Linked DNA regions of Elephas maximus indicus. The protein of the gene in region 1 interacts with the protein of each later gene in a pairwise test. Links are inferred from orthologs where the notes say so. Each region holds a gene or a part of one and is shown on either strand. Other genes may lie near its edges.

Region 1 (11,090 bases):
CCTGACACACACACCTTTCCTGATTTTAAACCGTGCAGTATCACCTTGTTCTGTTTGAATGCCTGCCTCTTGGTCCATGTATAGGTTCTGCATGAGCAAAATTAAGTGTTGTGGAATTCCCATATGAGAATTAGGCCATTTAAAACCTTTTCTAAAGGTTGCCTGCCCTAAGCTCCAAAATTCCCAAATAACAAAAATTCTTTGAAATTTTTCAATTTCCCATGGATTTCAGGGCTAATCAAAAACACTTTTTCACCACCGTTTAATTAAGAAGCAGCAATATTTTCTTTTCACAGTCCTACAAATTTATTCTTGGTTTTGTGATCTTCTAGTAACTATACGGAAAGCCTGGTAGCGTAGTGGCTAAGACCTACGGCTGCTAACCAAAAGGTCGGCATTTCAAATCCACCTGGCGCTCCTTGGAAACTGTATGGGGCAGTTCTAGTTCTACTCTGTCCCATAGGGTTGCTATAAGTCGGAACTGACTCAACAGCAACAGATTTGGTTTTTTGGTTTTAGTGACTATACTGTATCACGTTCTCCCAGGAATCATTCCAATCGGGCTCTGTGACACTGCTCTCTGGTGGCTTTCCCAAATAAGAAGTTAATCTCCTATACCTTTATCTGGCTGTAGAAATCAGTATGTTTCTGAAGTAACAGAATTCTCTCTTTACCGCTACAGTTCTTAACAGTATAGATTCTCTGCTATGCAAGACATACATGGCTGTCATTAACAAGCTGTATAAACCTAGACAATCCACTTATTTGAGACTAAGTTTCTACCTTTGTAAAACTGACAACTAGATTATCTCCAAGAATCCTTCTAGGTTAGACATCCTGATTTCCTTCAGTTCCTATATATCAACATTGTGACTAAATGACCCCCAAAATAATCCCGTCTTGGCTGCAGCTTCGAAATATTCAACATTTCTTATCCCTCCCCCATTTACCAAAACGTAGTCACAGACGCTGTACAACCAGTAAGAAATGCTTTAACAGTGCAGTTTTTAAAATCTGCCAATAAGACTAAGCTACACAACAGTTAATACTGTAGTTTTTAGAGTCGTTGGACTTTAAGGAATTGAATCATAAAGTTAAAAGACAAATGCAAGAGAATAAATTACACATAAGTGTCCATTTCCAGAAACCAATCCAATTTCATACTAGATTATCATCTATGGCTGGGAACAATCTCAGTAGTCCAAGCCTAACTCCTGTCATCTCTAACCTTAGAATACCAGAAAACTCAAGTTAGCCTTAGCAGATCACTCAGTTTCAATGGAATCTGGGGATCCTGAACTAAGGGGCCAGTGTAGGCAGTGGGGGGTCATAGTAGAATAGTTGCAGTACAGATGAGCCTAGATGGAACTTTCACCTCCCAGTAAGATTTCGTCTGAGTGGTTAATTAAAATAATGTTGAAAACCAAAAATCCAATAATGGATGATTTACTCAAAAACAAATGCAAAGAACCCTGCCAGGCACATAAGGGGAATACAGGGAACTTAACAGTCTATTAGCCTGCCATCCCCCCACCATTGCATTCTTCATACCACCCCTCCCCTAGTATAGTTTGAAAGCATAATATTAAGAGAAATGTACCTAAATACTAATAGTCAAGGAAATATGATGTCTAGTGAATGGTACAAAGTGACTAAGGAAGTCAGAGGCAAGCTGGCCATCTGGTTTTAGCACAGTGAAGACTTGCTGGGATTAGTTTTTGAGCAGGGTCTTGAAAGATAGTATAAATCATCTTAAGTTTACCTGTTTGCCCTTGGAACATGCCCTAACATATAAGCATCACTGATGAGAAAAGCCTGGTCTGAAAAAAGGACAAGGATTACCACTAACAAGGTGCAGAACATCAAGTAACTAGTTAATAGCCATCTGAAGCAGCCCTTCTTCATTTATGTGATTTCTATTGTCTCAGGCATTAGTGCTCATCAAACAGTAAAGTTTATTTTAGTTACAATAACCACTAGTGTTTTACTCAACACAGATCTGCTATACAAGGGGGAGGAAGCAAAAGTGTCTTTAAAGGGAAAAAGGAAAAGCTTGAGGGAGGTCTCTGATATATCAGTTTCTACTATGAAACACCATCATTAAATGCAAATGATTATTCCTTTCAAATTCTCAACTTATCTTTTGTCTTCCACCAACTCCATCATGCACCCAAGGCCCATAAATATGTACAGTATCACAAGACTACTAGGTTAGGATAATACACATTGTAAAGATTTCCATTTTTTACCATTATTTCTTACGGGAAAATTGCTTTTGAAATGTGAGTTTAGGTTACTAACACATATATAAGAACACAATACTCTTGTATGTCTGAGAATTTCTGGTACAGGCTGAATAGGGCAAAGAATATTATAAGGCTCTAGGAATTGACTTGACAGCAATTAACAAGAGGCTAGAACTCCAGAAGAACCAATACAGCTTCAAGCTCAATACATTTTAAAAAAAAATGTCGACTCAGAAAAATGCCTTGAAAACATACAAACCTCTCAAATGTCAAATAAATGCTACTTTTTCCAATAACAGATTTTACAGTTAACACTCATAATGAAAGGTTTATAAGAAGGTTAAAAAGATACATTTTATTGCACCCAAAGTTTTGAAAATTATATGTAAATACTACTTTTGCTGGTATACAGCGAAATCACATTCACCTAAAAAGGAAATGACACAGCGCTGTTCCAATAAAGTTAATCTGAGGAGAAAAAAAAATAAAGAAACCCCAACCCAAGTAAAGGAGACATCTCTTTCCCACTAGTGTTACCATTAACTTCTAAAGCTCAATGGGTATAATCTATCTTTTTACATACAGGATAATGATGCTTCCAGTTGCTAACACAAACGACCTGAAGTACAAAGAAGGGGGAAAAAATCCATCACCTATATTGGGTCTTCCAGTATATCACACAGATAAGTCAATCTAGCTTCTCATAACTTGGTCGAACTTCGTAGAAACCCAGACGATGCGGATGTGATACCAAGATTGCTACAGACTAGGCTAAGGGACAGAAAGTAAGCCATAAATTAAAGAAATTGGTTTAGCGAGGCAGAGTCAGTAAAGAACATCACACACCTCTAGTTCCTTCAATATTCACACCGAAAGAAAAGAATTTTACTTCTCTCCTTTACGACATAGGTTGTTTCCAAGTCTGGCGGCGTGCCTCACTCCCCACCCAAAGTTACTGAAATAAACATTTTCCCCAAGAGGAATCTACAGGAAGACACACAAGCCTTTTTTTTTTTTTTTTTTTTTTAAACATGTCTTCACCGCCCCTCACACTTCCCTCTTACCTCTCCCGGGGGTGTGAAAATATCAACATCCGGTCGCCCGCCCCCACCCTCTGGGCAATGTCTCGCACTGACGGCGCTCATCTCCTCTCCTTCCCTTTCAGTCTCATCATCTTTGAAAAGCTTATCGACTATTTCTTCCCATTGCTCCCCCATCCTTATTCATGGCTGAGCATGACATTCTCTACATCGTTCTCCCAAAAAAGGGGCTAGCAAAAATGAAGAAACAAGCTCCAGAAACGAGAGCCGGGGGAGAGGCCTGACAACCACACAGCAGTTTAAACCAGCGGAATCGGTCTTCCCCCCCATCTCAGCCTCTGAAGCAGAAGTCGGCTCTGCACACGCTGAAATCACTGCTCTGCATCCTCCCCACCCCCAACGTTCAAAGAGACCAGTAAAAATGAAGAGGCCGGGAGGAAACGCGCGGCAGGGTCAGCCCTCACGAAGCCCACTCCCTTCAGGGCTGCAGCCGCCGGAGAGGATGGCGATCGCAGGCGGAGCGAGGGGCCGTCCTCCCGGGCACCGCGCCCGCCCGAAGCCCCCAGAGGCGCAGGCCGCGACACCCGGGCCCCTTGCCCGCCCGCCGTCCCCCGCGGCCCAGCCCCCCGCAGCCCTCCTCAAGGCCCCTCCCCGCCCCCAGCACTACAGCGGCGCCCCGGGCGGACCCCACGCCGGCCTCACCCGCACACAAGCCACACACAAAAGCGCCACGGCCGCCGCCTTCCCGCCCCCACAGCCCACGGAGCAATCAATGAGGCGGCCGGCGCCCGCGTCCCCTCCGTGTACACCGGAACGCGGGGCTGGCCAGGCCCGCGACGCGGCTCACCATCGCTCCGTTTGATCTCCACGTAAATCCCGATCTGGATCTTGCCGAAGTTGGACGCTGCCATCACCTCATCTGGAGCAGCGGCTGCGGGCCGAGGGAGGGGGATCGGAGAGCGGAAAAGGCAGGGAGGGGGCGGGGTACGTGTGGGAGGGGGAGCGGTTGCCCGCGGCCGCGCTGGCCCGGGCGACAGCGTGAACGCAAGCTGGGGCCGCGAGGAGCAGCGGCGGGGCAGGCGGAAGCGCCCGGCCTGCAGGCCGGCGGGAGGACGCGCACACCGGGCCGTCGGGGTGAAGCAAGGGACGGGGCCGTGAGGCGGCGCCGCGGAGAGTAGGAGGGGCCGCCCCTCCCGCCCAGCAGCCGACGCTGGGGAGGCGGGGCGCCGCGCGCCTGCGCAGAGCGCACCTCCGGCGTCTCTTCCTCCTAGACTCCCTTTTCTCCGCTGTCTCGAGGCGGCCCCGCCCAGCTCTGCTGCGGGCGGGCGGCGGCCCGGGCTTGCCTGGGTCGGGGAGCGGAGTGCGCGCGGCCCGGCCCCCCACAAGTCTGCGTCGAGTTTGATTTCAGCGCGCGGCCTAAAAGAGGCGGGATCCTCCGAGCCGGTGCTTTTCTTTACGCCCTGGCTTTTTTTTTTTTTTTTCTGGCTTTTATGAGTTGAAGCTGTTGCTGCAAAGGATTGAGGGCCTTGAGGTTTGAGGGTTTTCCGGGTGGAGTGCGGGGCTGAGCGATGCAAATTTGGGACTGGCCAGTGACGGCATGAGTTTGGTGTTTCATCTGAAAGTGTCACCCCACATATAGAGGTGGCTGACCCAGGTAATCCTCCCAAGGCACACCTGGTTCAGGTTTCCCATCCAGTTTTGAAAGAAACGGAACAGCTTTATGGTCAGCCACTCTATAAGTCAGGGAATGAAGATCTGCCTCTTCCTGACCTTGCCTCTTAGCTCATCGCCGCTTAAAAAGAAGCCCTGCATTGGCGCGGCCTTGACTTCCGTTTATGGTGCATCAGATGCTAGTATCCTGGCCCTACTATTGGGCTCAAGGCTTATTTGTCCTGGCCTGTAAAGCCAACTACAATGACTCAAGGATGGAGGTCAGATACATCAGCTTGACTAAGGGCTGTGCATTTTCTGCAGAGTCACTTGACTAGTTTGACCACATCAGCAATGTGGCGAGCAAGACTCTCCTTCCTGGCAGGGATCCTGGAAACCATGTTTCCAGCACCGGGTACAAACCTCCAAACCTGTGGCTCTTGCTTCTAGTATTGGGACTTGATGTTGAGGAAACATTTTTCGTGCCCCACTTTCTCTAGTATTTGTTAATCTCGTTGTAACTAAAAACACTGTTTCAAAATTTAAAAATTGGAAACCGGATACATATACATACATGCACAGTCCTAGAGTTTTCAACTAATATAAGTAATGGAGTCCAGTAGACCCTAACAAAAAGCATTAAAAGACTCGAGCTCACCTGTAATTTAAACATATTGGAGGTATACTTGTCAAAAGAAGAAAACCTCTTAAATCCGTTGTAAAGTGGATTTGGGCCATTTAATTTATATGAAAAACACTGGTTAGACCATGTGGAAAACAACGTCTGCTTTTACATTACTTGGAAACTCCATGGGGCAGTTCTACTCTGTCCTATAGGGTCGCTATGAGTCGGAATTGACTCGACGGCACTGGGTTGGGTTTTTTACATTCCAGAAATTACTGTACATTTCACTTCAAGACCTCTGTTTCAGAATAGAATTTGACCAAATCAGGGCTCAGTTTTTTTTTCTTGAAAATCTAAAGAGTTTTAGCAACTGAGTTGGTGTCTAATAGAGCCTGTTCTCTAATGTCTCTATGACTAATGTATAAAGCATCTATTTATTTGCTTGAAAATTCTTTAAAGAATCCAAAGACATTGAGCTATAAAGCTATAAATTTAAAATTATTCCATAACATATTTTATACACGGTTACATACCTTGCACCCTGTGGGTTATGAGACAATCTTTAATCAGTATACAAAGGTATTTTGTATATACATCATCCTGTTCCATGAACATGTGTGAGACATACAATTTGCCTAATGTACAAAACACAAAAACCTTTCCAAGTCATACCCAAAAGACTTATGCTATTTGGTATGCCCCAGCATCTATATTTATAAACTTTGCATCATGGGTTTAGTATTCAAGTGGGCCACTGAATAGCAGCCATAAATGAATGCAGTGTGACTACATTTCCACCAACAATAACGGATCAAGGATTCTGACTCTGGGTCAAGCATTAGCAAGATACACAACCCTAACTAGAACAGTGCCTGGCACATAGTAGGCACTCAACAAATGTTGAATGAATTAACTTATTAAACTGTTCTGTGTCTCTGTTACATGTTTGATCAACCTGAGATAATAAATTCCATTCTTCCAACTGCACAAAGTTTTTTTTTAATTTATTTATTGTGCTTTAAGTGAAAATTTACAAAGCAAGTGAGTCTCTCATACAAAAAGTTACACACACCTTGCTATGTACTCCTAGTTGCTCTCTCCCTAATGAGACAGCACATCCTCCTCTCTACCGTGTATTCCCCATGTTCATTCATCAGCTCCTGTCCTGCTCTTCCTTCTCATCTCACCTCCAGACAGGAGTTGCCTATGTAGTCTCATGTGTCTACTTGAGCCAGGAAGCTCACTCCTCACCAGTATCATTCATTATCGTATAGTCTAGTCCAATCCCTGTCTGAAGAGTTGGCTTCAGGAATGGTTCCAGTCTTGGGCTAACAAAAAGTCCAGGACCATGACCTCCAGGGTCCCTCTAGTTTCAGTCAGACCATTAAGTCTGGTCTTTTTACGAGAATTTGAGATCTGCATCCCACTGTTATCCTGGTCCTGATTCTCTGTTGTGTTTCCTGTCAGGGAAGTGATCGGTGGTAGCTGGACACCATCTAGTTCTGGTCTCAGGCTGATGGGGTCTCTGGTTTATGTGGCCCTTTCTGTCTCTTGGGTTTATCTTTACCATAAGTCTTTGGTGTTCTTCATTCTCCTTTGCTCCAGGTAGGTTGAGACCGATGGATGCATCTTAGATGGATGCCTGCTAACGTTTAAGACCCCAGACGCCTGTTATCAAAGTGGGTGCAGAAAGTTCTCTGAATACATTTTGCTATGCCAATTGACCTAGATGTCCCCTGAAACCATGATCCTCAGACCCCCACCCCTGCTACTCTGGCATTCGAAGCGTTCAGTTGTATTCAGGAAACTGCTTTGCTTTTGGTTTGGTCCAGTTTTGCTGACCTCTCCTGTATTGTGTGTTGTCTTTCCCTTCACCTAAAATAGTTCTTGAATAGTTCTTGTCAACTATGTAATTAGTGAATACCCCTTTCCCTCCTGCCTCACCCTCATAACCATCAAAGAATATTTTCTTCTGTGTTTAAACTTTTTCTAGAGTTCTTATAATACTGGTCTCACACAATATTTGTCCTTTTGCAGCTGACTATTTTCACTCAGTATAATGCCTTCCAGATTCCTCCATGTTATGAGATATTTCATGGATTCATTGTTGTTCTTAATCGTTGTGTAGTATTCTATTATGTGAATACACCATAATTTATTTATCCATTCATCCATTGATGGGTACCTTGGTTGCTTCCATCTTTTTGCTATTGTAAACAGTGTTGCAATGAACATGGGTGCCAACTGCACAAAGTTTTGGGGAAGGTCAAATGAAATAATAAAAGGTACTTGGAAATTTATAAAGTTTAATACAAAGTAAAACTATCTCATTAAAAAAAAAGTTTAGTTCTCTTTTGTAATCCTCAAATCATTAGTTAGGATTTTGTATCCAGTGATATAAAACTAAACACATTGATTTGGCTCTGACCCTCATCACCTCATATCAAAAGGATAGCAAGAACTCTACAGTTCGGGTTGTATTCTTTTACCTGCTCTAGTCTACCCTAACTTTAACTGACAGAATGTTCTTGCTCAAAAACCATTTCCATCACCCATCTTACTAAGAGTGGCTGATGTTGGTTTATTTTATGAATTCTGAGTTTATAATCCATTTCAAAAATTTTTAATTATTGGAATTCCTTATTATGCCTTGTTGTTCATTGTTGTTGTTTTGCTTCTCTGCATTGGATTATTAGTACACAAACCCTAGGGGTTACTCCAAGGAAGAGGCCATTAAGCTAGTAACTGAGATTTGAGGCCAGAGCCAGCACTCACCTTAAGGGGTTACCTGTTCCTTGTGGAAGAACAGAGATACAATTTAGCTCCAGTTCTAGCTCAGATTATATGTATTTGTATTCTAATTTGAAGCTTTTCCATTCAATTTTTTTTATCTATCCTGGATTACTTCCACAAAGTTTGTGGGTCTGGGATCATGTGGGAGAAATAGGCACGGTTGGCGGAAACTTTTTTTCCCTCTACTATTCGCTTTCTGCTCTGGACTTTTTTTTAGAGACTTTTTGGTTGTCAGAGATTCCAATTCCCGTAAATTTATTCAAATTTTAATTCTAATTAAATTGGTGTAATCTCTCTATGATGTACCTCAGGCTTTAAACAAATACATTAACCCTGGGATGTATATATCCCAATTATACTCTATCTCTAAACTGTCCCTTCTTTTCTTCTCCTTTGCATTCCATTCTACCTCCTGCGAACATGTTCAGGCTCCCTTCTCCAGAAAAAAATCTCTTGGTCTTCCTCTTACTATTTAAATTCCATTCTATTTTTTGCTTTCCTTTCCTTTCCTTGCCACATTCTCAGATGAGTGCTCTAAATTCCCACTGCCTTGATTTTCCACCACCCATTCACTTCTTAACTCCTAAATCTGGATTCAATCCTCTACTGCCTTATATTTTTAAAAGTCAAATAATTACTTTCTAATTACCACACCCAGTGGACATTCTAGCATCTTTATTTGCCTTGAATTCTTTGCAGAACGGCCTACTACTCTCCCCCAAAGAGTGCTTGCCCATTTCTGCTTCTCAGTTTTGCTCAGTGTGGCACGTCTTGCCCCAGCGACTAGAATGATTTGTCCTCCTCTTTTCTTCTCTACCTATTTAAACGCTTCGCACCTAGCAAGGAACATCTAAAGTCTCTCTTTATGGGGCTTTCTCCACCAATCCAGCCTACCATAACCATTCTATCTAGTGATCCTTACCTAACCATGCTCACCAGAAGAACCTAACAGGGTTTTACTTTTTTTTTTTAAACAGATATAGAGGTGCAAGCTCTACCCAGGCCTAACAACAAAACAAAACAAAAACACCAGTTGCTGTCCAGTCAATTCTGACTCAAGGTGACCTCATGTGTTTCAGAGTAGAACTGCACTCTGTAGAATTTTCAATGGCTGTCACCTTTCAGAAGCAGATTGCCAAGGCTTTCTTTCAAGGTGCTTCTGGATGGTTTGAACCACCAACCTTTCAGTTAGTAATCAAGTACTTAACCATTTGCACTACCCAGGGACTCCCTACCTTAGGCCTACTGGTTTAGAATCTCAAGAGGTGGGGCTTAGGGTAGTCTGTTTTTGAAAAACTCATCAGGAGAGGGGACAGAGTTATGGATACTTCTTAGACATAACCAAATACCTCACGGAATTAGCTTTCTGGGGTTGAAGGAATGTCTGGGTTTGAAGGACTATGTAACCATAGTCTCGTAGGACATCTCAGTCAATTGGCATAATATAGTTCATAAAGTTATGTTCTACATCTTAGTTTAGTGAGTAATGTCTGAGGTCTTAAAAGCTTTCGAGCGGCCATCTAAGATACAATTATTGGCCTACTCACCCAGAGCAAAAAAAGAAAGAAGTAAACCAAAGACTCAAAGAAGAAACTAGTCTACAGGATAAGTAGTTTACACAAACCACGGCTTAATCTACCCTGAGTCCAGAAGAACTAGAGGATGCCCTGCTAGCACTACCAGTCATTCTAATCAGAGCCACAAGAGATGGACCCTAGTAAAATGGAAGGCAAATGTGGACCAGAACCTCAAATTTCTAAAAAACAAAAACAAAACCATACTTACTGGACTGATGGAGACTGGAAAACTTCCCGAGGCAATTGCTCCGAAATACCCTTCAGACCTTGATTTGAAACTAACCTCTAATGTCATCTTGTAGTTAAATAACAAACTGACTCAAAAAATAATATCACCCTTAAGTATGGTGCACCTTTAAAAAATCACCTATATCAGACCAAGGATCAACAATTTCTTAAAACAAAGATGAGACCGTAAGGGGACAGGAAACTAGATTAATGGAAACAGAACAACCAGAACGGAAATAACAAGAATGTTCATGTGTTGTGAAGAATGTAAGCAGTATCACTGAACAACTTACGTAGAAATTGTTGAACGGGAACCAGAACCTAAACCTAAACCTAAAACACAATAAACTATTATGGAAAAAAAAAAAATCGTCAGGAGATTCTGAGGTGTATGTGCACCTAGTTGAGAACTATTAATTACCCCTGAATTCCCACAATACAGTATTTTCTACACATTTGCCACTTTGGGGCTGGGCACTAAACAGACATTGATTGATTGATTGTTTTCCTAGTCCAACTTCTTTATTATGATTCTTTTACTTGCACTTTTTGATAGGGCATAGGATTGTCTTAATCGTAATCTATTGATGGAGAGCTAATGTACAAGGACCTTAAAGTCCATATTGGATTTAGATCTATATAGAAATATCAAACGATACAATGTCACATTTAATTATGATCTACATTGTGACGTTCCTAATATTTGTACTTGTTAATGTAATGTTTGCTTTAATTTTAATTTGCATGACTAATTCCTCTCAACTATAAGAAATCTAGAGATTTCCCTTATACCAGAGTTTCAAAAATATGATGAATTTAAACTCATAAATAACAGATGTCTTTTCACCATTTGTAGTGGTGTATTTTTTTATCCAAACTAAAAGCAATTTACGTATTCCTTACAATAATTCTTATTAATTCAGGAGCTTGG
Region 2 (10,917 bases), on another chromosome or scaffold:
AAAAGACCTCTTTTCAAGTGTTGAAAAGCAAACATGTCACCTTGAGGAATAAGGTGCTCCTGACTCATGGCACTGGGTTTTTGGGTTTGACCTAAGCCAAGGTGTTTTCAATCGCCTCATATGCATGTGAAAGCTGGGCAATGAATAAGGAAGACCAAAGAAGAATTGACCCCTTTGAATTGTGGTGTTGGCGAAGGGTATTGAATATTTACTATACCATGGACTGCCAAAAGAACGAACAAATCTGTCTGGGAAGAAGTACAACCAGAATGGTCCTTAAAGGCAAGGATGGGGGGACTGACTGTGTTTTACATACTTTGGACATGTTGTCAGGAGGTATCAGTCCCTGTAGGAGGACTTCTTGCTTGATAAAGTACTGGGTCAGTGGAAAAGAAGAAGACCCTCAATGAGATGGATTGACAGTGGCTGCAACAATGGGCTCAAGCATAACAATAATCGTGAGCATGGCGAAGGACTAGGCAGTGTTTCGTTTTGTGGTACATAGGGTCGCTGTGAGTCAAAACTGACTCGATGGCACCTAACAACAACACTTGTTTCTTATAATGATGACAGGGAAAGAAGTGCCTGTGAGAAGTTCTCTTTTCCAAGTTGGGGTAAGTAAGAAGAAAGGCCTCGGGTTTCTTATTAGATAAAATGCAGTTTATCAGTGCTGACAGGGGAATTCTATTCACCCTGTGATATCATATTCCCTGAGGGTACCATTGTAGTAGTGCTGCCTCACATGGGGCTTCTCTGAGCATGGCCCCAGCACCACCTGTATTAGCACAACCTGGAGTGCCTGTTTAAAATAGCATGCTCCTGGCTGGTGGCCAGTGGTTAGGAGTTCAGGCTGCTAATCAAAAGGTCGGCAGTTCCAATCCACCAACCGCTCCTTGGAGACCCTATGGGCAGTTGTACTCTGTCCTAAAGGGTCGCTATGAGTCAGAATCGACTGGATGGCAATGGGTTTGGTTTTTTTTTTTTGGTCCCCTAACACTCCCACCCCCTAGTTCAACACTCTGAGGGTGGGGCCCAGGAATGTGAGTTTTTAAAGCAGAATACCCCCCATATGTAATTAATGTGCCTCTAATATTCCAGTGAGGACATTGGTGGTTCAGTGGTAGAATTCTCACCTTCCACGCAGAAGTCCCCACTTCCAAAAATTAGCCAATGAAAATTCTATGGATAACAATGATCCAATCTGCAACAGATCATGAAGATGGCAGAGGACTGAGCAGTATTTACTTCCGTTGTGCATGTGGTCACCCTGAGTGGGGGGCTGGGGGTGAACTGACTCAAGGGCTGTTAACGACAACAACAAACGTTTCCCAGTCCCAGACCCGTGCTGGACTAACTCCAACACAACCATGCATTCGGGGTTTCCACTTCGAAGAAAGCCTGGGAAACTATTTTTCACAAGTCCCCCTCCCCCACCCCTGGTTGATTTTGATGACCAGTTGGGTTTGGAACCCCTGCTTCCGATGATGACAAGTCAGAATTCCTTTTGTACCAGGCTTCATTTCAAATAGCAGGTTTGCCAAGATGACCTAGGAAATGACCCTGGAAAAATAACGGATGAAAGGGTGCTTTGCATACAGAAGAAAAGGTCAAGACCATTTTGATCTTGAAAGAATTTGGGTAGAAAAAGAAATTGTATTGGCCCAGAGCTGCAGACCATGACTGGGAAAAACCCAGAAGTGAATAAAAACTGTCCTGAATCCCTTCCAATTCTCCTTCCCTCTGACCCTTATAAGACCCCCAGCTGGCCAAAGCAGAACTCTGTTAGGTTAGACTATCTGAAGAATAATTTATGGTAAAGCATTAATGACAACTTGAATCCACTTCCAGGGGGCACATACTTTTTAATTTCTATTTTAATAAGGGTCACCCCTGAGGCCTTATTCCAAAAGAAATCATCTCTAGGTGGAATTTCAGGCACTGAAGAAAATCAGCGGGTGAATTTTAGGAGTGGGGGTGGGGAAATTTTCTTGTATCCAAAACATACACCAGAGGAAAGTGCTTCCAAAGTGTCTACCAAGGCCTCATCCAAACATGTCCTGAGCACCTGTGATGTCTGCATCTCAATACAGGGCACTCTTGCACTGCCTGTCATGGGGACATGTCCAGAGAGCCAAGAAAAAAGAGTTCATATGACCCGGGTGAGAAGAAAATGCTGTATTTGACAATGACTAGTTTTAAGTGACACTGGTCCGTGCTGTTTTACACGTACACAGCTTTTGGAATGTTTTAAATATTCTCTTTAAATTTTGTAAATTAGCCAGATGGTTTTCCAGTTGTCACTCAGTGCTTTTTAAAATAAATCACTGTCACTTTTCTGAAAGTAACCACATGATCTTATGCAATCAGAACTCCCTGGGGAGTGTCCAGAGACAAGGTACCAGACTCTCTCCAGCATTTAACTATAAAAAAAATTTTTTTTTTTTAAATGGCTCAAGTGCGACCTAGAACTAAGTGTCTCCGTTTTGAAGCTGTTATGCCCATGGCTGACTAAGGGGATTCAGCTGCATAGGGTTTCAGAGAATCAGGCCCAGAAAGCACTTGTGGCTTGTATGCACAGCAACGGGAGGAGGTCAGCACCTGTGCACCGGAACCAGGAAATCAAGCCTTCATCTTTGGCCTGCATACCTTGGCAAGAAGCATCCTTTCCCCTCTCTCCAGCTTTGAGAAGAGCAAAGTTGCTGAACAGGTTACCCAGCAATCTCATTAGCAGGATGCAGGTCCCCATGAAAATGTCATATTACCTCTTCTAAAGTCAAGCCTGCTTTTTAAAAAGCGACTCCACTTCAGTGAGTTCAAAGCTGGACACATCCAACCAGAGAAACAAAAGAAAGTGGGAAACTAGAGACACTGTGAAGCGCCATGGGATCTTAGCCCTCCATCACCAAGGCATCGTGACAGTGCAGGACTTGACACTCAAATTGTAAATTCTTACTTCCCTTCCATGGAACTTTAGCATCTAAGTTGGGCATTCTATATCAAACATAGCATTTATATATATACATATATATATATATATATATACACATACACATAATGTGGAAACCCTGGTGGCCTAGTGGTTAAGTGCTACGGCTGCTAACCAAAGGGTCGGCAGTTCGAATCCGCCAGGCGTTATACGTAATGTAGCTGAGGGCATAAACCTACACAGCCCTTTTTCCTGAAAAGCTGTGTAGAGTGACTTCCACAGAAAGGTCCCAGAAGTAAACACCCTGAGTTAGAGAAAGATTGCTAGATGTAATACATGCATTGCATATGTATATGTATATACATACACTGTATATATATTACATATACTAGCCAAAATACTATTACTTTTTAATGTGTATTATGGTATTCATAAAACATATTAAGAAGGATGATGAGAATTAAAACCACGAACTATAAATATCGATTAAAACACACTGCCTGTTGGCCTTGAGTAAAACATTACCCTCCTTCATTCCACACAGAAATGGTGTTAGTTGCCCTAATCACCAGTTTTTATCACAGGGCCAAATGAATCATTACTCCCACAGTCAGATCTTTGAGGTCAGAAGACAAAAATGACAAAGGACATGCAAGAAAAGTTTACTCTGCTGTTTCTCAAAAAATCTGAAGACAGAAGAGGATGAAGACAAGTTTAGCCTGTTTATCACACGCTTGCATTCAGCTCAAGTAATTTCACACCCATTCTCTATTTGCTGTAAATGTATACAGTGTGCACTCCATGAAAACTGACACCAGTGTTGGCAAAATACAACCAAGCTTCCTTTCTGACATGGCAAATAGATTTTAAAAAACAAAAAAAATCTTAGCTCCAAGAACACATATCTTGGAGCATTCAGCTCCCGCAAGCATTCAGTTTGTTTTAATATCTCTCCCGCAGCTGCTAAAAGGTTGCTTTCAACATGTAAAGATTTCTGGGCCCATCAATCAGCACGTCTCGCAGTCTTCACAGCCCCAGATAACAGGAGACAATGCATCTAATAGGAAGAGCAGCTGGGGACCGTGGAGGGTACCTTCACGATAGTTGCTTCCACCAAAAGGCATGCAAGTCTTATTTTAATGGCAAGAATCACTTACTCTGTTACAATGGTGCTGCCGAAGGAATTATCCTGAAGGCTGAAACAGAAACAAGAAAACATCAGCCAAGTCTGGCCGGGGAGCCGTCTCCCTGATCGCTCTCCGGGAGTTAGAGCACACACACAAACATGGCATTGCAAGGCAAGCCTCAGGGCTCGCCCGGCGCGCTCGCTCTACCTTGGGCTGCTGTCTGCACATGCTCGTAACGACACCCCCAGCAGGGGCCCAGCGGCACGGGCGAACCACAAAGCCCGGCAGCCCGCGAGGCTGCGGGACTGAGCCGGGCGGGGCGCGGCGGCGGGGCGGAACCGGTACCCGGGATCCCAGCACGGAGCGCTGGAGAGTTGCCCCGCGACCCTAGCCTCGCCGGTCCCGGCGCCGCGTTTAATCCAGGCCTTTCGCCCCCCGCGGTTGGAAATAGCAATGCCCAACTCTTTCTGCCCAGGAGACTTGCTGTCCTCCAGTCGTCTCCTACCAATTTTCCTGAGCTACCCACCCACCCCTAGGGATGGAGGCTGGCACAGATTCAGCAGCGTTCAGAGGAAGCCAGGAGGGAACGAAAGGAGGGAGGGAGACATTGCTAGTGTGTTTTGTTGTACTGTGAGTGTGCGTGTGTGTGTGCGCGCGTGCGCGTGTGTGTGTGTTTGGCGAGGAAAAAGAAGAGCCGCTTTTTTTTTTTTTTTTTTTTTAACGAAGGACTTTCTGCATCACACACGATCTGTCCTCGCTGTTATTTCAGTTCCTAACAGGAAGCGCCCAGCCCCGGACTACAAAGCTGTGAATGAGCCCACGCAGGGCGAGTGGAGGAATTATTACCTGGTGACTAAGGGACAGTGCAAGGAGTGGGGTTTGGTGCTCCCAGGAGCAGCCTGCTGGAGCTCAACTCACAGGCTTCTTCACAATGGACAGGGAGATCACAAACATTTCCCCTTTGAATAAAGTCAGCGCTGTTGGGGGAGGGGAAGATTACCAGCCCTCTCCTCCTGCATTCCCCTGGAGATATGTGTCCTTCCCTCCTTCCATTGTTCATTTGTTCTGCCATGTTGACCTTGACATGGAATAAACAGTCATCAGTGACAGATGCTTATTTTAAATTTTGAATTAAAAGCCCCATTCCCCTCCCCCCTTTTTTTAATCTCTCCACTCCCACAAATAACTGAGATGACAGTGAGGTACATAATAATTTTTTATGTATAAATTTTCATTTTCAGATAATTAGAAAAATTACCCAAAACTGGGACATGAGGGAGAGGAACGTTAGCCGTCAGTGTCACTGGAAGAGACTGTTCAGCAGGTCCACCTGAGGGCTACTTAATTCTCTAGGAGAATATGGCTGACTTTACTATTCACTATTGATTTTTTTTAGATCCCAGACACTGAGGTTACATGTTAACTGGCAAATTTTGTCTGATCTGTCCAGAAGAAAAGATAACCTCAGAGTTTATGGTTTTATTGCACTGTAAGACATTGAGCAATGTTGCATCCAACCTAACAATCTAACACTAACATTCTCTCTAAGCGCCTTTAAACACTCAGATTCTCAGCATGCTCTTGGAACCAGCTTTACCATTCCACAGGTTTCCTCTTGAATAATTGATCTCTGACACGTGGCCTAGATTTGTATGAGAGTCACATTCTTTGATAAACCAAAATCAAGTTTTCAGAGAAAAACAGGTTTCATTAAGGTTCTTTGCAATTTCACTTTCTTCTCTACAAATATTTTTAAATTAAGCTGAATAAAAGCCTACTGTGGTCTTAGACTTGAACTCTACGGGCTGAAATAAATTTGGAGATATCCAGCCTTTGGAGGTTTACCTGTGTTTCATTGACTACACAAAGGTATTCGATTGTGTGGATCATAACAAGTTACAGATAATATTTTGGAGGATGGGCATTCCAGAATACTTAATTGTACTCCTGCCAAACCTATACATAGATCAAGATGCGGTCATTCCAACAGAGTAGGGAGATACTGCACGGTTTAAAATCAGAAAAGGTGAGTGTTAGGACTGTATCATCACACCATACTTATTCAACAGGTATGATGAGCAAATTGTCCGAGAAGCTAGACTAATATGAAGAAGAATACAGCATCAGGATTGGAGGAAGACTCATTAACCTGTGCTATGCAGATGACCTGTGTTGTTCAGTATTAAACAACCCCCCAAACCCAGGAAGCATCAAAAGAAGATGGAATGAATACACAGAGTCACTATACCAAAAAGAATTGCTTGACATTCAACCATCTCAGGAGGTAAAACAAATGATCAGGAACCCATGGTACTAAAGAAAGAAGTCCAAGCTGCACTGAAGGCATTGGCAAAAAAACAAGGCTTCGGAAATTGACAGAATACCAGTTGAGATGTTTCAACAAATGGATGCAGTGCTGGAATTGCTCAATCCTATTCTATGCCAAGAAATTTGGAAGGCAGTTACCTGGCCAACCGACTGGAAGAGATCTACATTTATGCTTATTCCCAAGAAAGGCGATCTGACTAAATGCAGAAATTATCAAACAATATCATTAATATCACATGCAAGAAAAATTTTGCTGAAGATCATTCAAAAGCAGCTGCAGCAGTATATTGACAGGGAACTGCCAGAAATTCAGGCTGGATTCAGAAGAGGACATGAAACCAAGGATATCATTGCTGATGTCAGATGGATCCTGGCTTAAAGCAGAGAATACCAGAATGATGTTTACCTGTGTTTTATTGACTATGCTAAGGCATTCAACTGTGTGGACGTAACAAATTATGGATAACATTGCAGAGAATGGGAATTTCGAAACACTTAATTGTGCTCATGAGGAATCTGTACATGGGTCAAGAGGCAGTCATTCTAACAGAACAAGGGGATACTGCATGGTTTAAAGTCAGGAAAGGTGTGCGTCAGGGTTGTATCCTTTTACCATACATATTCAATCTGTATGCTGAGCAAATAATCCGAGAAGCTGGACTATATGAAGAAGAATGGTACATCAGGATTGGAGGAAGACTCATTAACAACCTGCATTATGCAGATGACACAACTTTGTTTGCCGAAAGTGAAGAGATTTTGAAGCACTTACTGATGAAGATCAAAGAACACAACCTTCAGTATGGATTACACCTCAACATAAAAAAAAAGAAAGAAAGAAAACAAAAATCCTCACAACTGGACCAATAAGTAACATCATGATAAACAGAGAAAAGATTGAGGTTGTCAAGAATTTCATTTTACTTGGATCCACAATCATCGCCCATGGAAGCAGCAGTCAAGAAATCAAAAGACAAATTGCATTAGGCAAATCCGCTGCAAAAGACCTCTTTAATAAAAGTACTGAAAAGCAAAGACATCACCTTGAGGACTAAGGTGAGCCCGAACCAAGCCAAGGTGTTTTCAATTTCCTCGTATGCATGCGAAAGCTGGACAATGAATAAGGAAGACTGAAGAAGAATTGATGACTTTGAATCATGGTGTTGGTGAAGAATATTGAGTATACTGTGCACTGCCAAAAGAATAAACAAATCTGTCTTGGAAGAAGTACAACCAGGATGCTCCTTAGAAGCAAGGGCGGAGAGACTACATCTCACATGCTTTGGACATGTTATCAGGAGGGATCATTCGCTGTAGAAGGATATCATGCTTGGTAAAATAGGGGGCCAGCAAAAAAGAGGAAGACCCTCAATGAGAAGGATTGACACAGTGGCTGCAACCATGGGCTCAAGCATAGCAACAATTGTGATGATGGTGCAGGACAGGGCAGTGTTCTGTTGTGCATAGGGTCACTATGAGTCAGAACTTACTCAACAGTACCTAGGAACAACAACAATGCAGATAACACAACCTTGCTTTCTAAAAGTGAAGACAACATGAAGCACTTACTGATGAAGATCAAAGACTACACCCTTCAGTATGAATTGCACCTCAACACAAAGCAAAAATCCTCACAACTGGACCAATAAGCAGCGTCATGGATAAATGGAGAAAATATTGATGTTGTCAAGGATTTCATTTTACTTGGATCCATAATCAATGTCCATGGTAGCAGCAATCAAGAAACCAAATGATGTATTGCATTGGGCAAATCTGCTGCAAAAGACCTCTTTAAAGTGTTAAAAAGCAAAGATGTCGCTTTGAGGACTAAGGTGCCTCTGACCCAAGCCATGATGTTTTCAATAGTCTCATTTGCATGCGAAAGCTGAACAATGAAAAAGGAATACCAAAGAGAAGAACTGATGCGTTTGAATCATGGTGTTGACAAAGAATGTTGAATGGACTGCCAAAAGAAAGAACCGCTCCTTCTTGGATGAAGTACAGCCAGAATGCTCCTTAGAAGCAAGGATGCCAAGACTTGTCTTTGGACATGTGATCAGGAGAGACCAATCCCTGAAGAAATACAGCATGCTGGGTAAAGTAGAGGGTCATCGAGGAAGAGAAAGAGCCTCAAATGAGATGGAGTGACACAGTGGTTGCAACAATGGACTCAAACACACCTACTGTGGTGAGGATGGTGCTGGGGCAGCATTTCGTTCTATTATACATGCCATCACCATGAGTAGGAGCTGACTCAAGAGCACCGAACAACAACAACATATATATAAACCACCTACTATCTCACAGGAGCTACTTTGTGGAGCGTCAAGACTTGGCTTCTTCAGTACAAGCGAGAATTTAGTACTGAATCATCACAAATTGAGGTCTACTCTTTCTATTTTATTGAGATTGATGAAGGTAAGTCTACATTCAGCTTTTTTAGTTCTACAGATCCAAAGTTTGCCAGTTTCCGGACCCCACTATGGTACTGTTTTGAAAAGTTCTTAAGCAGAGAAAAGGAAACCCTGGCGGCGTAGTGGCTAAGTGCTACAGCTGCTAACCAAAATTTCAGCAGTTCGAATCCACCAGGTGCTCCTTGGAAACTCTGTGGGGCAGTTCTACTCTGTCTTATAGGGTCACTATGAGTCGGAATCAACTCAACGGCAATGGGTTTTGGATGCAGAAAAAAATTATACTGTCTCATTTATACTTTCTCAGTGGTCCATTCGGAATGGAAACGTACATTGTTTTTAACTTTGAAACAGGACTTAGCTGTATGAACTAATATGGACCCTTTGAGAATAAAATTAAATAACAAATGCATTTAATAAATGCATTTAATAAATTCATAGGAAATAAATAAGAATTCTCAAAAACTTATGAATGGATCAAAATTAGGTTTCAGGTAGTACCCACGTACAATCAAAACAAATTGTTGATACAGCTGATTATGGCTACAAAGCAAAGATGTTCCAGAAACAAACAAAAAAAAAGCCCTGAAATGTGGCAGTATGTAAGGATATCAACCATTTTAATTTTTACTTCTCAGTCATTTCTTATGACATTATTTGTTCACATCTTAAATCAGGTTTAGAAATTATCTTTTCAAGTGTCTTTTTTTTTATGTGTTGTATTATGCAACATGGAATAGGACAATAATGATGGATAACCATACAACATCTGGTTATTTTGAAAAGCCTCAGTTAGACTAAACAGCAGTTCAAGGAGAGTTCAAAAAGAGAGGCAGAAAAACTAACATTTGAGTTTTTGAAAAGAGATTTCTAGACCAGTGTTTCCCTAAGTGTCCTCGGTGGAATTCTAGTCTCTTAGGTGGTCCAGAAAAGAAAAAAAAGTTACATGGCCAAAAATAAAATGTATAAATTTGAAAGTTATAAATTTACAATGTGTGTTAGGCTCTGAGGGGTTCAGTAGCAACAAAAAGGTTTCATCATTTTTAATCAAGTATTTCTCAAACTCATTGAAGACTGAAATAGTTGGTGTTGTTGTTTTAATTATATTATCTATTAATGCCATGTTAAATTTTGAGAAAAGAGCTCCTGAAAATATAGGGGAAAATGCAAAATAGATGAACTGGTATAATTTACTTATTCATTGAACAAATGCAACATACCTGTCAATGTTCCGTAGTGATAAAGAAAACATAGGCCTTGCCACCATGATGCTTTTAGAGTAATTGTTGTTATTATGTGCTGTTGAGTAGGTCCCGACTAATAGCCATCCTATGCACAACAGAATGAAACACTGCTTGGTCCTGCGCCATCTGCACAATCGCTGCTATGCTTGAGTCCATCGTTGCAGTCACTGTGTCAATCCATCTCATTGAGGTCCTTTTCTTCAATGACCCTCTACCAAGCATGCTGTCCTTCTCCAAGGACTTGTCCCGTCTGATAACATGTCCCAAGTATGTGAGAGGAAGTATCGCCATCCTTGCTTCTAAGGAGCATTCTGGCTGTACTTCTTCCAGCGCAGAGTGGTTCTTTCCTTTGCCAACACCATAATTCAAAGGCATCAATTCTTCTTCAGTCTCCCTTATTCACTCTCCAGCTTTCACATGCATACAACCAAACCACCAAACTGCCTTCAAGTCGATTCCGACTCATAGCTTTCCTATGGGACAGAATAGAACTGCCCCATAGAGTTTCCAAGGAGCGCCTGTCAGATTTGAACTGCTGACCTTTTGGTTAGCAGCCGTAGCACTTAACCACTACGCCACCAGTGTTTCCACATGCATACGAGGTTATTGAAAACACTACGGCTTGGGTCAGGCACACCTTACTCCTCAAAGTGACATCTTTGCTTGTTAACGCTTTAAAGAGACCTTTTGCAGCAGATTTGCCCAATGCAATGCACCATTTGATTTCTCGACTGCTACTTCCATGGATGTTGATCATAGATCGAGTAAAATGAAATCCTTGACAACATCAATATTTTCTCCATTTATCATGCTGTTGCTTATCAGTCCAGTTGTGAGGATTTTTCTTTACGTTGAGTTGTAATCTATACTGAAGGCTGTGG
Region 3 (10,519 bases), on another chromosome or scaffold:
TCGCTGTTTCTTCTGAGCTGCTCCCGGGCAATTTTCACGTGGCTTGGCACCTCTCTTCCTCCTTCTTTGCTTCTTTCTGCTTGCTTGTTTAATCTTTTTTATATCTCAAAAGAGACTGACTCAAGACACACCCTACACTAATCTTGCCTATTAACATATTAAAGACAACCCATTCACAAATGGGATTATAACCACAGATATAGAGGTTAGAATTTACGACATATATTTTTTGGGGGGGTACAACTCAATTCATAACACTGCCCAAGAGAAAGTCACACACGCGTATAAGAGGCATGTATAAAAATCTTCACTGGCTTAATGTTTAGTAAAATGTAAACTACCAAGATGATGGTCAACATTGCTAAATTAATGATGTATAGCTGTATATATGGACCGCTTCTCAGAAATTTCTTAAAGAAGTTTGGATTAAAATGGATCAGCCAATACTTTGACTGGAAAAATGCACAATGACATTTTATATTCTAAGCACATAAACAAAACATTTTATTTGGAAGTAACTGCATAGAAAGAGGTCTGAAAGGATATCCAGTAAACTGGTAACATGAGTATCACTTTTTTTAAAGGGGACATTGAGTTCTATGCTTTTACCAAAAATGTTATTTCATTAGGGTAATAACAGTAAGCTTATTTGAGGTTTTTGGAAGCAGGTGTTGGAACATTAAGGGTTGATGAAGATCAACATGGAGTCAGAAGACTCTCTAAGAATGGCAAAAGCAATGCTTCCCTGCACATGCTTTCATAAGAGAGGGGGCCCTGGTGGCACAGTGGTTAAGTGCTCAGCTGCTAACCAAAAGGCTGGCAGTTCAAATCCACCTGCCACTGCTGAGAAACCCTATGGGGCTGTTTTACTCTGTTCTACAGGGTCACTATGAGTTGGAATCAAGTCGATGGCACCGGATTTTGGTTTCAGGGGTGAAAGGAATCAAATTACTTTACAAAACTGATTTTTAGTAAGCAAAACGCAGCCATGGCTACAGGTAAGTGGTTAATGAATCCCATACTCAGATTTCAGTAAAGATTTCCAAATAAATAAAACTAATTTCAACAAGTTAGGACACAGATTGTGAGAAAGTTCCTTCTGGTCTCACTAAATTCAAGACAGCAGTGGCACTATTCTAGACTTCTGGGGTGGCTTTGGGTTGAAGAGGGCCTTATCCCAAAGCTATCTTATCAGGATCACCAGAGAGTATAATATACCGGCCAGGAGAACCATCCTAAAAGTAGAAAGACTCTCACAACAACTGGAGAAACTAAAATCTACCTCACTTAGAACCGCAAATTTTCATGTAGAGAAAATTTAGAATTTGTGTCCTGAAATATATCCCAAATTCCTATATTATTTATATATCTGGCAATAAACTTTCTGGCAAAATTTTATAGGTGGAATTGTTTTGCCTCACTAAGTGGCAGTATATCCACGTTTGGCAGAAAAGGCCTGGTTTAAGTCTGTTATCCCAGTATAATCAACGGTGCCCCTTTTCTCTCTCAAGAGCATCCTGGTTTGTAAGATAATTATATAGGCACCCTACCTTCTGGTGTGCACCTACTCTGAACCTGAAGGGCCTCTGTTTCTATTTCATTATTCTTGGAGTTGCAAGTTTTCTTAGGAAAATACGAAGCCAGGGCACCAAGGTTAAAGATGGCACTCTGGTATTCAGAAGTGGAAGACATGAGTCTCACCATTTCATTCATTTACAAGGTCCAGAAGTCTTGCCAAAAGTCAACTAGCTACTTAGTAACAACACCTGGACTAGAATCCAAGTCTCTCAGAACAATCCATTTCTATACCATAATCTAAGTTAACTAAGTTTTTCAATTGCAAATATAAATCATGGTTGAACAGTGTAGTCAGTCATGGGGAGAGACTATAAAAGTTACTACATTACTCCTGAATGGTATTCCTGAAGGCAAAGAAAGGAGCCCAAGGAGTGAAGAGCAACCTACAGCCATCAGTAAAACTGACATTCCCAGGAACACCACCACACATCAAGCATCACCTTGTTCTTAATCTCCAATGAATATTATTGTTGTTAGTTGCTGGGGAATTGACTTCGATTCTTGGTGACCCTGTGTGTGCAGAGTAGAAATGCAACACAGGATTTTCAAGGCTGTGACTTTTCGGAAGCAGTACGGCACGCGTTTTCCCTGAGGCTCTTAACCTGTTTCTGACACCCAGGGACTCCCTCCAATGGGATTAAGACACCCCTTCTGATGAAAGTACCAGTAAATTAATTAACTAACCTGGTAAGATATTTTTAACAAGATCACTTGCAATTAAAGTTCCCTAGGCTTTGATTTTATAATCAACACAAAAGAGTTCATTTTTTGGTAGTCATGGAATATAACGCATAACTGTATATAAGTCTAGAAGTAGGCAGGTGAAAGAGCCAAAAAAAAAAAAAAAATGATTTCACTAAAGCTTTCTTTCTCTTTGCTAAATTTTATGGAGATTTTCCTTAACGGTGTTCTCTTCAGTCAGTAAAAGAGGTAAACAAATAGCTCTAGGTAAGAGGAAGAAATGACAATATTAAATTCAGGGCAAATTTTTAAGTACTTTTTTCTGCAAGTGCCAAAATTTATCAAGAAGCAAAAGCTAAGGAACTCAATTAACTCAACACTTATTTCACTCTATTGCAGAGTTCCTCTGAAGAAACGGTAACATATCAGCAACATAACGTGTGTCTTTAATAATCACCGTTCATTTTATATCACTATCATTTGATTCTCACAACCCTGTTTTTTTATAACACGCTCAGATTTTCCCTATATTCTGCTGTTAACCTTTAATTTTAAGAAAAAGTGAAATAAACAGCTGTAATTTCTATATAAAAAGTTCAATTAATTCACTATACCCTAAGAAATCAAAACTGGAAAATGCGTTTTACCTTTGTTTATTTAGCATTTCCATTTTTAATTGCTTAATAGTTTTAAAAACGGCAGCTGCTACAACGAAAATAAAGCACCAGGGGCCATAATGCATTGGCCAGCATTCCAAGCGCAGTGGCTGCTCTCCACAGTTAAAGGGAAGGAGAGCTAACTCAACGTTAAAGGACTACCATTTACCTAATGCGCAATCCACTCACGTGTCAACTATTTCCATTTTTTCCCACAACAATCATAACTCAAGGCACCGAAATAGCAACATTTTAATATTAATAATTCTTTGAAAGCCTTGAGATTTTCAGCTCTTCAATTATTTTACAGTAAAATACCAGGACCCCGCTTCCTCCTGCTCTTGCAAATGAAGCCCCTTGCTCCGCCTTGGTTCAGCCGGTTTTTAAACGTTCACAGGACCTTTTACCCCCGGATGAACTGCAAGACTATCGGCCTAAGTTCGCTACTTTCCCGAGCTGCTAACACGTGGAGGCAAAGCACGATCGAGGCCGCGCCAGCCTCGCAGCGATGCCACTTTAACCCCGCCGCGCTCCCACCAGTCAAGGAGAACCTGAGGTCCCACCTCTTCCTGCCGCTCCCTTCCTAGATGTCCATTTATGTAAATAAGCAGAGTGAATGACACCTTGGAACGAAATACCTCCGACTGACAGGGAGACGAGGCCTGCCCCTCCCCCCGCCCAGCGCCCAATTCGCCACCACGCGCCAGCAAGTCCCACGAGTTGTCCGTTCCCACACCCTCCCGGTTCCCACCCTACGGGAGCCACAGACCTGCCTCCAGGGTTTCCAGCGGGGGCGGCGGCGGCTCCGTCCCAGTGGGGGACAGGTGCGGGGGAGGCTTTTTGGTCCAGGGGTTCTCCTTAGGCGGCGGCGGCGGCGGCGGCTTCTCCTCAGGCCCGACCACCGCCTCCTCCTCCCGGGCGTCCTCGGCCGGCAGCTCCCGCAGCGGCTGCTCCCCGCCGAAGGGGCCCCCGGACCCGCGCGCCTTGTGCGCCAGGTGCAGCGCCAGCGGCCTCACGGGCACGGCCGCCTGGGGCACACTGTGTCCCAGCACCGGCGCCGGCGACGGCTCTCCACGCGCCCCAGCACTGCTGGCGGCCACGGCCCTCTCCTCCCTCGCCGCCTCTTTGCCCTCCCGTTCGGGCGCGGGCGGCTGCTCGGCCTGCCTGCTCGCCGCGGCCGACAGCGACTCCCTCTCAGCAGCCGCTGCCGACAGCTCCTCCCGAGGGTGCGCGACGGGCACCGGGGCGCGAGCTGACATCGTCCCCTTGCCCCAGCCGCCCCAGCCGGGGGGGCCCTGGGGCCAGGGAGCCCGGCTGCCCGTTCCTCCGCCCGGGCACCGACCGGCTCCGGCCTGGGGCAGAGAATCCGAGAGCCCGGCCGCCGTCGCCACCGCCGCCCGCGTCGCCCGAGGCCGTGCAGCGCCCGGCGTGCCGCCCCTCCCCGCGCCGAACGGAGCGCTAACTGCCCGCCGGCCCAGCCCGCCTCGGCGGCGCACGCCCGGAGCCCGCCAACACGCGCCGGGCGCCGCAGCCGGGAGCCGCGAGCCCTCACCTGGCGCGGGCAGCGGCGGACGAGCAGCGAGCCGGGGCCGACAGAGCTCCACCGGAGCGAGGGAGGCGCGCGCCCCGGGAGCCGGTAACTGCTCGCGGAGGCGGGGACATGGGGGGCGGTCCGAGAGGACGGGGCGGGGGCGGGGCCTGCCGGAGGAGCGTGACGTGGCTACTCACCGGCTCCTGCCCTCAACCAGGCCGCGGCGGCTGGCAGACTGACGAGCCAGCCGGTGCCGCCGGCCTCAGGGCCCGCCCTACCCCGGCGGCCCGCCGTAGGGGAGGCCGGGCGAACAGAGCGAGTCCCCGGCTCGCGGATGACGGCCGCCGGCCTGCGGGCGCAGGGGCGGGGCGCGCACCGGGCCTCTGTGACTCGCCTCCGGCTCGCGCCCGCTGGGGTGGCTTCGGGCGAGGGGCGGGGCAGGCTGCGCAGGTGGTGCCAGGCGGGCCCGGCCGCGGCGGGCAGGGGCAGTCGCTTTACACTTAGTCCCTGGAGCCGAATCGAACTTCGGTAGAACTGTCTCTGCCACAGGCCCGGGGCGGCTCCCCAGTGACCGGGGTGCCCGTCCCCCTGACCCAGGTGCCCTGGCAGGATGAAAGTTGCCCCCTGGCACCGCGACCACCTGTAGCCTTGAGCCACGTACAAAATGAGAACGCTGTTATCTGTAGGTAACTGTATATGAAACCTTTGCCTGGGCAGTTGGTTTAGTTCACTTCCCCACCCCTGTTTCCACCCGCTAATTGAAGTATCATTAAAGTGCTCTTGAGTATAACAAATAGTTAATATTTCTTTGGTCTCTCTCTTTTTTTTTTTAACCTGTTCCTTTAATTCGGGGAGATAACATTTGATTACAAATTAAACCCATTCCAAGTTGTTGTTTTTTTTTTTTTTTTCCTGGAATAGATTTGCATTAAAATAGTGCAAATATCTTTGGGGGGATCTGATAGGAGCTTTCTACTTGGCACTCATTCACTTATTGGTTTCATGTGCATGTATTGTGAGTTAGTGTTGCTGTGCAAGGTTGCTGAGAGTGAGTTCACAGGTGAAAATATTTTTTCGCTTAAAAGTCCCCCCCCTCCCACTCCACCTCTGCCAAAAATAGGTATTCGCAATTTGTGTGGACTTGGAACTAGTCCAACCCAGCTTCACTTAAAACTGTCAGGCCAGGCAAATAATTAGTACAGGACCACCCTCCTGTGGTCCAGCTCCCACTCATAGTGACCCTATGGGACAGGGTAGAACCGCCTCATGGAGTTTCCAAGGAGTACCTGGTGGATTCGAATTGCAGACCTTTTGGTTAGCAGCCATCGCACTTAACCACTATGCCACCAGGGTTTCTAGCCTAGCTCCAGTCACATTAAACTCGAGATTAATTTTATTAACTCAAAAGCTGTACTAGGCATAAATTATTTTCTTCAGGCTAACAAACTAGTCATGCATTAAAACAGCTCTAAACAAGGTTTCTCATCTGTATCAATAATCTCTAATTTACCTGACCCTAGCCAACCTCTGAGGACCCTGTGGCCCAGTGGTTAAGTGCTTGGCTGCTAGCTGACAGGATGGCAGTTTGAACCCACCAGCTGCTACCTGAGTGAAAGATGTGGCAGTCCGCTTCCCTAAAGATTTACAGCCTTGGGAACCCTATGGGGCAGTTTTACCTTCTCCTGTAGGGCCACTATGAGTTGGAATCAACTCGATACCAACGGGTTTGGTTTCGAACCAACCTCCTTTCCTATTAAGTGAGGATTGTATTTACACATGTATTCCCAGAGAGGCACCATCTTTGCTCTCTCTTTGGTGAAGCTTTGTATTTTTAACTACCTCTTCCTGTTATAATCACCTCTTTGGAGACATGCCAGATAATACTTGACTCTCCCCTTTAGGAAAGCTTGTCAACAGATTCACTTAGGATGATTCAGAGAACACATTCTATTTTCCTGTAACCTATTTAAATACATGTTGATTAAAGACTGATTTAGTTGAGCAAAAGATTATGTGGAATGGTTCTCCAAAGTTTGATTTGTGTGGGCTACTCTAACCATGGTTGGTTGTTTTGTTCAGTGTTTTTAAGTGAAAAGTCATACAGGGACCTTCTCAAGTAAGGGTGCTTATTGAAGGAACACAGGGGAACTTTCTTGGAAATGGATTTTGGTTGCAGGGAGAGAAGAGCTGGAATTCAAAAGGGCTCTAGAGAACTCAACAGTAGGTGTTGGGGATCTTCGCTGTAATGCAATGCCACTAACGTCAATCAGCTACATCGCTAAGTTTGCAACTTGCTCCTCTTTTAAATTTATACTAAAAACTCCTAGTTGCATATAACTATCTCTTGCAAACGACTTCATGTATCTTCTATTAGCACCTCTATATCTACTCTCCACCCTTCTGCTCTTTTGCCAGGGAGGACTGACCTGTTCACAGGGCACCACCTTCTCTAGTATCTGGATGGGTTCAGGCAATGGGAGGTACAATAGATTGGAAGCCAGAGAAGAGTGAGGTCATAGGCCTTATTGCCCCAGTTGGGTCACCATGGGTTGGCTGCAGTGCCTTCTCTGTACAGTTAAAAAAAAAAAAACCCAGTGCCGTCAAGTCAATTCCTACTCATAGCGACCCTATAGGACAGAGTAGAACTGCCCCACAGAGTTTCCAAGGAGCACCTGGAGGATTTGAACTGCCAGCCTCTTGGTTAGCAGCAGTAGCGCTTAACCACTATGCCACCAGAGTTTCCAAACCCACTCCAAATCCCTCTTTTTGCCTCTTCAGGCCTAGGGGTAATAACCTCTAGCCAGCCTTTTGGGTACTGCATTATCTTTTGTTGGCTTCCCTGACTCTTGCCTACACTTCTGTAAATGGTGCTTTTAACAACTCTCCTCAAATTGCCCATTTTGAGCTCTCCACCTGTTTTTTGCAGGGACCCTGACTGACGCAGTATGGCATTGTTGAATCTTCATTGCATTACTTATTCTGCCTCTGCTGATAATTGCCAAATTCTTCCTCTGCTTCTTAGTTCAAATTCATAGAAGACAGACAGTTTAGCTTATTTTCTCTAACCACATCACACAAATCATTAACCAACCTATGGATTATTTGCCCTTGGGTAGGGTCCCACCTGGCCCAGAGGAACAAGTTATTTGATTCAAAACATTGACACAAAGCAGTGGAGGCTGGGGATTGGTGAGAGGGGGAGTGCCAGTTTTCCGTAGACGTGTTAGAGGAGCTAACCTAACCAGGTTCTTCCCCTTTTTCCATCTCTTTAGGAAAGACACCAACCATTTAAGTTCTGAAGATAACATGAGATAATATATAATATGTGTAAAATGCCTATCAAAGCCCCTAACTCAATTATGTTCGTTTTTAGCTATTTTTATTGCTTTTTAACCAAGATGTTGTTGTTAGTTGCTGTCTGGTTGATTTTCGACTCACAGCAAGCCCATGTGACAGAGCAGAGCTGCCCCATAGGGTTTCCAAGGCTGTAATCTTCATGGAAGCAGACTGCCACATCTTTCTCCCACGGAGCAACTGGCGGGTTCAAACTGCCGACCTTTTGGTTAGCAGCTGTAGCTCACTATAGCTCTTAGCTACTGGGCCACCAAGGCTCCAATTTAACCAGGATAAAAAAAACACCAAACCCGTTACCATAGAGTAGATTCCAACTCATAGTGGCTCTATAAGGGGAGATAAGTTTTCCCCTAATGTTAAAGGAGCTTGGGGTTTTTAAGGCTTGAGGGGAGATAACTGAATCTGTAGTGCACTTAAGCGAGGTGTGGCAAGAGGAGTATAGCTATCTTGTAATAAACAAAGCTTGGCTTTTTTTTTTTTGGCCAGAGATGAGATTGGAGAGATGGCCTAATGCAGATCGCGAAGGGGCTCTTGGGTTATGACGGAGTTTGAATTTTATTCTCAGAGCAATGGGAAATCACTGAGAGTTTTTAAAATATTGCTGCAATATGGAGAGGGAAGGGGAAGTGGCGAGTGCTGTTAAACTATTGTTGTTGTTACTATACTTACATGGCAATAAAGTGGAAATTTACAAATTGTTCAAGATTATAATATGTTAGTATGTTGCTAGTACAGTCTTGAAGTGAGGGTGCCCTGTCTCCTGAACTTGAACATCCTCCCACAGTGGTGATGGATGTATCGGTCCATCATAGATTAAGTACATAAGCATGTAGACACGTACCAACTCTGCTCTGCATGGCTCTGGATTCTGTGATGTCCAAATCTGGTTTCCCATCAAGACTTGCCTTCAGAGAAGGAATGTGTGGATCACTGAAGATAAGAGTCTAATCCATTTAATGGTTATATGATTCATCAAAAAATAATAACTTTTGTTTGAGATTTAAATCATTTATTTATGTTCTTGAAGTCAAATCCATTCTTTTATATTTTTACTTTTTTTTATGAATGTTTTCAAACATAGAAGTAGAGAGAAAAATATAATTAACTCCCATTTACTCATCATCCAACTTCAACAATTAGCCATATTTTGGCATTTTTGTTTCATTTATATACACCTTCGTATTAGTTTCCTATTGCCACCCTAACAAATTTCTACAAACTTAGTGGCTTTAAACAACACACATATATTATCTTACAGTTCTGTAGGTTAGAAGTCCAACACAGGTCTCATTGGGCAAAAATCAAAATGTTAGTAGGGCCGTGTTCCTTTAAGGAGACTCTGGGGAAGAATCCATTTCCTTGCCTTTTCCAGCTTCTAGAGGCTGCCCATTCTCCTTGGCTTGTGGTCCCCTTTTTCCATCTTCAAAGCCAGCAATGGCAAGTTGAGTCCTCACATAGCATCCCTCTGACCACCTCTTCTGTAGTCAGATCTCCCTCTGCTTCTCCCTTCTGCCTCCCTCTTCCACTTTTGAGGACTCATGTGTTTAGATTGGCCTACCTGGATAATCCAGGATAATCACCCCATCTCAAGGTGCTAAACTTAATCACATCTGCAAAATCCCGAGGGTGCGCGACGGGCACTGGGGCGTAACATATTCACAGGTTTCTAGAACTAGAACTTGGACATCTTTACCAGCTGCCATCAAGTCAGTTCTGACTCATGGCAGCCACGTGTGTGGCAGAGTAGAACTGTGTTCTATAAGGTTTTCAGTGGTTGATTGTTTTAAAGTAGGTCACCAGGTCTTTCTGGCCTGGACTTGAACTGCCAACCTTTCAGTTAGCAGCTGAACATGTTAACCGTTTGAACCACCCAGGGGCTCCTGGATATCCTTAACCCAGTGCCGTTGAGTCAATTCCGACTCATAGCAACCCGATATCTTTAGGGGACTGTTACTCTGCCTAACACAACTTCCAAACACATATACACACTTTTTTTTTTCTGGAATATTTTAAAGTAAATTTAGATATCATGTAATTTTTGCTTTTTAGTACTTTAGTATGTATCTCTGTCACTTCACCTCTCCCTCTCCAGCCTGGCTTCTCCCTCTATCACTCAGCCAAATTCAGAAAATTCATCCTTAAAATTCTGTTCCCCTAGAACCACTCTTTTTACCAAATCTACATCAGTCAACATTCTCCAGAGAAAGAGGACCAATAAGAAATATATATATGAAGAGAGAGATTGATTGATTTTAAGGTATTGGTTCACTGGTTTGTGGGACCTGGCAAGTCTGAAATCCATAGGGCAGGTTGCCAGGCAGGATTTCTATGTTGCAGTCTTGCGGCAGAGTTCCTCCCTTTTGGGAAACCTCAATTTTTGCTCTAAAGACCTCCAACTGATTAGATAAGGCCTACCCACATTATGGAGCATATTCTGCTTAAGTCAACTGATTATAAATGCTAATAACATCTAAATACCTTTATAGCAACATCTAAACTAGCGTGTGACCAAACATTATGTAAAGTACTTAATACAGTACCATCATACTCCCAAATGTACAAATTACAGGTAGTCTCCATCACTGTCGTAAATTGGTTCTGATGTAAGTCAAATATCTCATTTTTTTTAAGTTTTCATTATTATTGCCTTTATTATCAGTATCTTAATAAATCCAATCTTTATTTGTCCTTGGGAGTTGGAAACCTTACATATAAACTT

The links.
Region 2: the proteins of KIF2A (region 1) and FAM13C interact in binary tests that used the Homo sapiens proteins (3 or more experiments, as listed by UniProt). The two-hybrid records come from large-scale screens. The link is inferred for Elephas maximus indicus from reciprocal best matches to the Homo sapiens genes KIF2A and FAM13C.
Region 3: the proteins of KIF2A (region 1) and LARP1B interact in binary tests that used the Homo sapiens proteins (3 or more experiments, as listed by UniProt). The two-hybrid records come from large-scale screens. The link is inferred for Elephas maximus indicus from reciprocal best matches to the Homo sapiens genes KIF2A and LARP1B.

The regions. Positions count from the first base shown.
Region 1 is NC_064820.1:66,849,851-66,860,940, reverse strand, and holds the start of KIF2A (kinesin-like protein KIF2A), read right to left. Parts: upstream 4,445-11,090; 5' UTR 4,198-4,444; coding exon 4,134-4,197; intron 1-4,133. UniProt on the Homo sapiens protein: Plus end-directed microtubule-dependent motor required for normal brain development. May regulate microtubule dynamics during axonal growth. Required for normal progression through mitosis. Required for normal congress of chromosomes at the metaphase plate.
Region 2 is NC_064834.1:28,815,494-28,826,410, reverse strand, and holds the start of FAM13C (protein FAM13C), read right to left. Parts: upstream 4,243-10,917; 5' UTR 4,146-4,242; coding exon 4,084-4,145; intron 1-4,083.
Region 3 is NC_064823.1:17,727,110-17,737,628, forward strand, and holds the start of LARP1B (la-related protein 1B), read right to left. Parts: upstream 4,452-10,519; 5' UTR 4,175-4,451; coding exon 3,685-4,174; intron 1-3,684.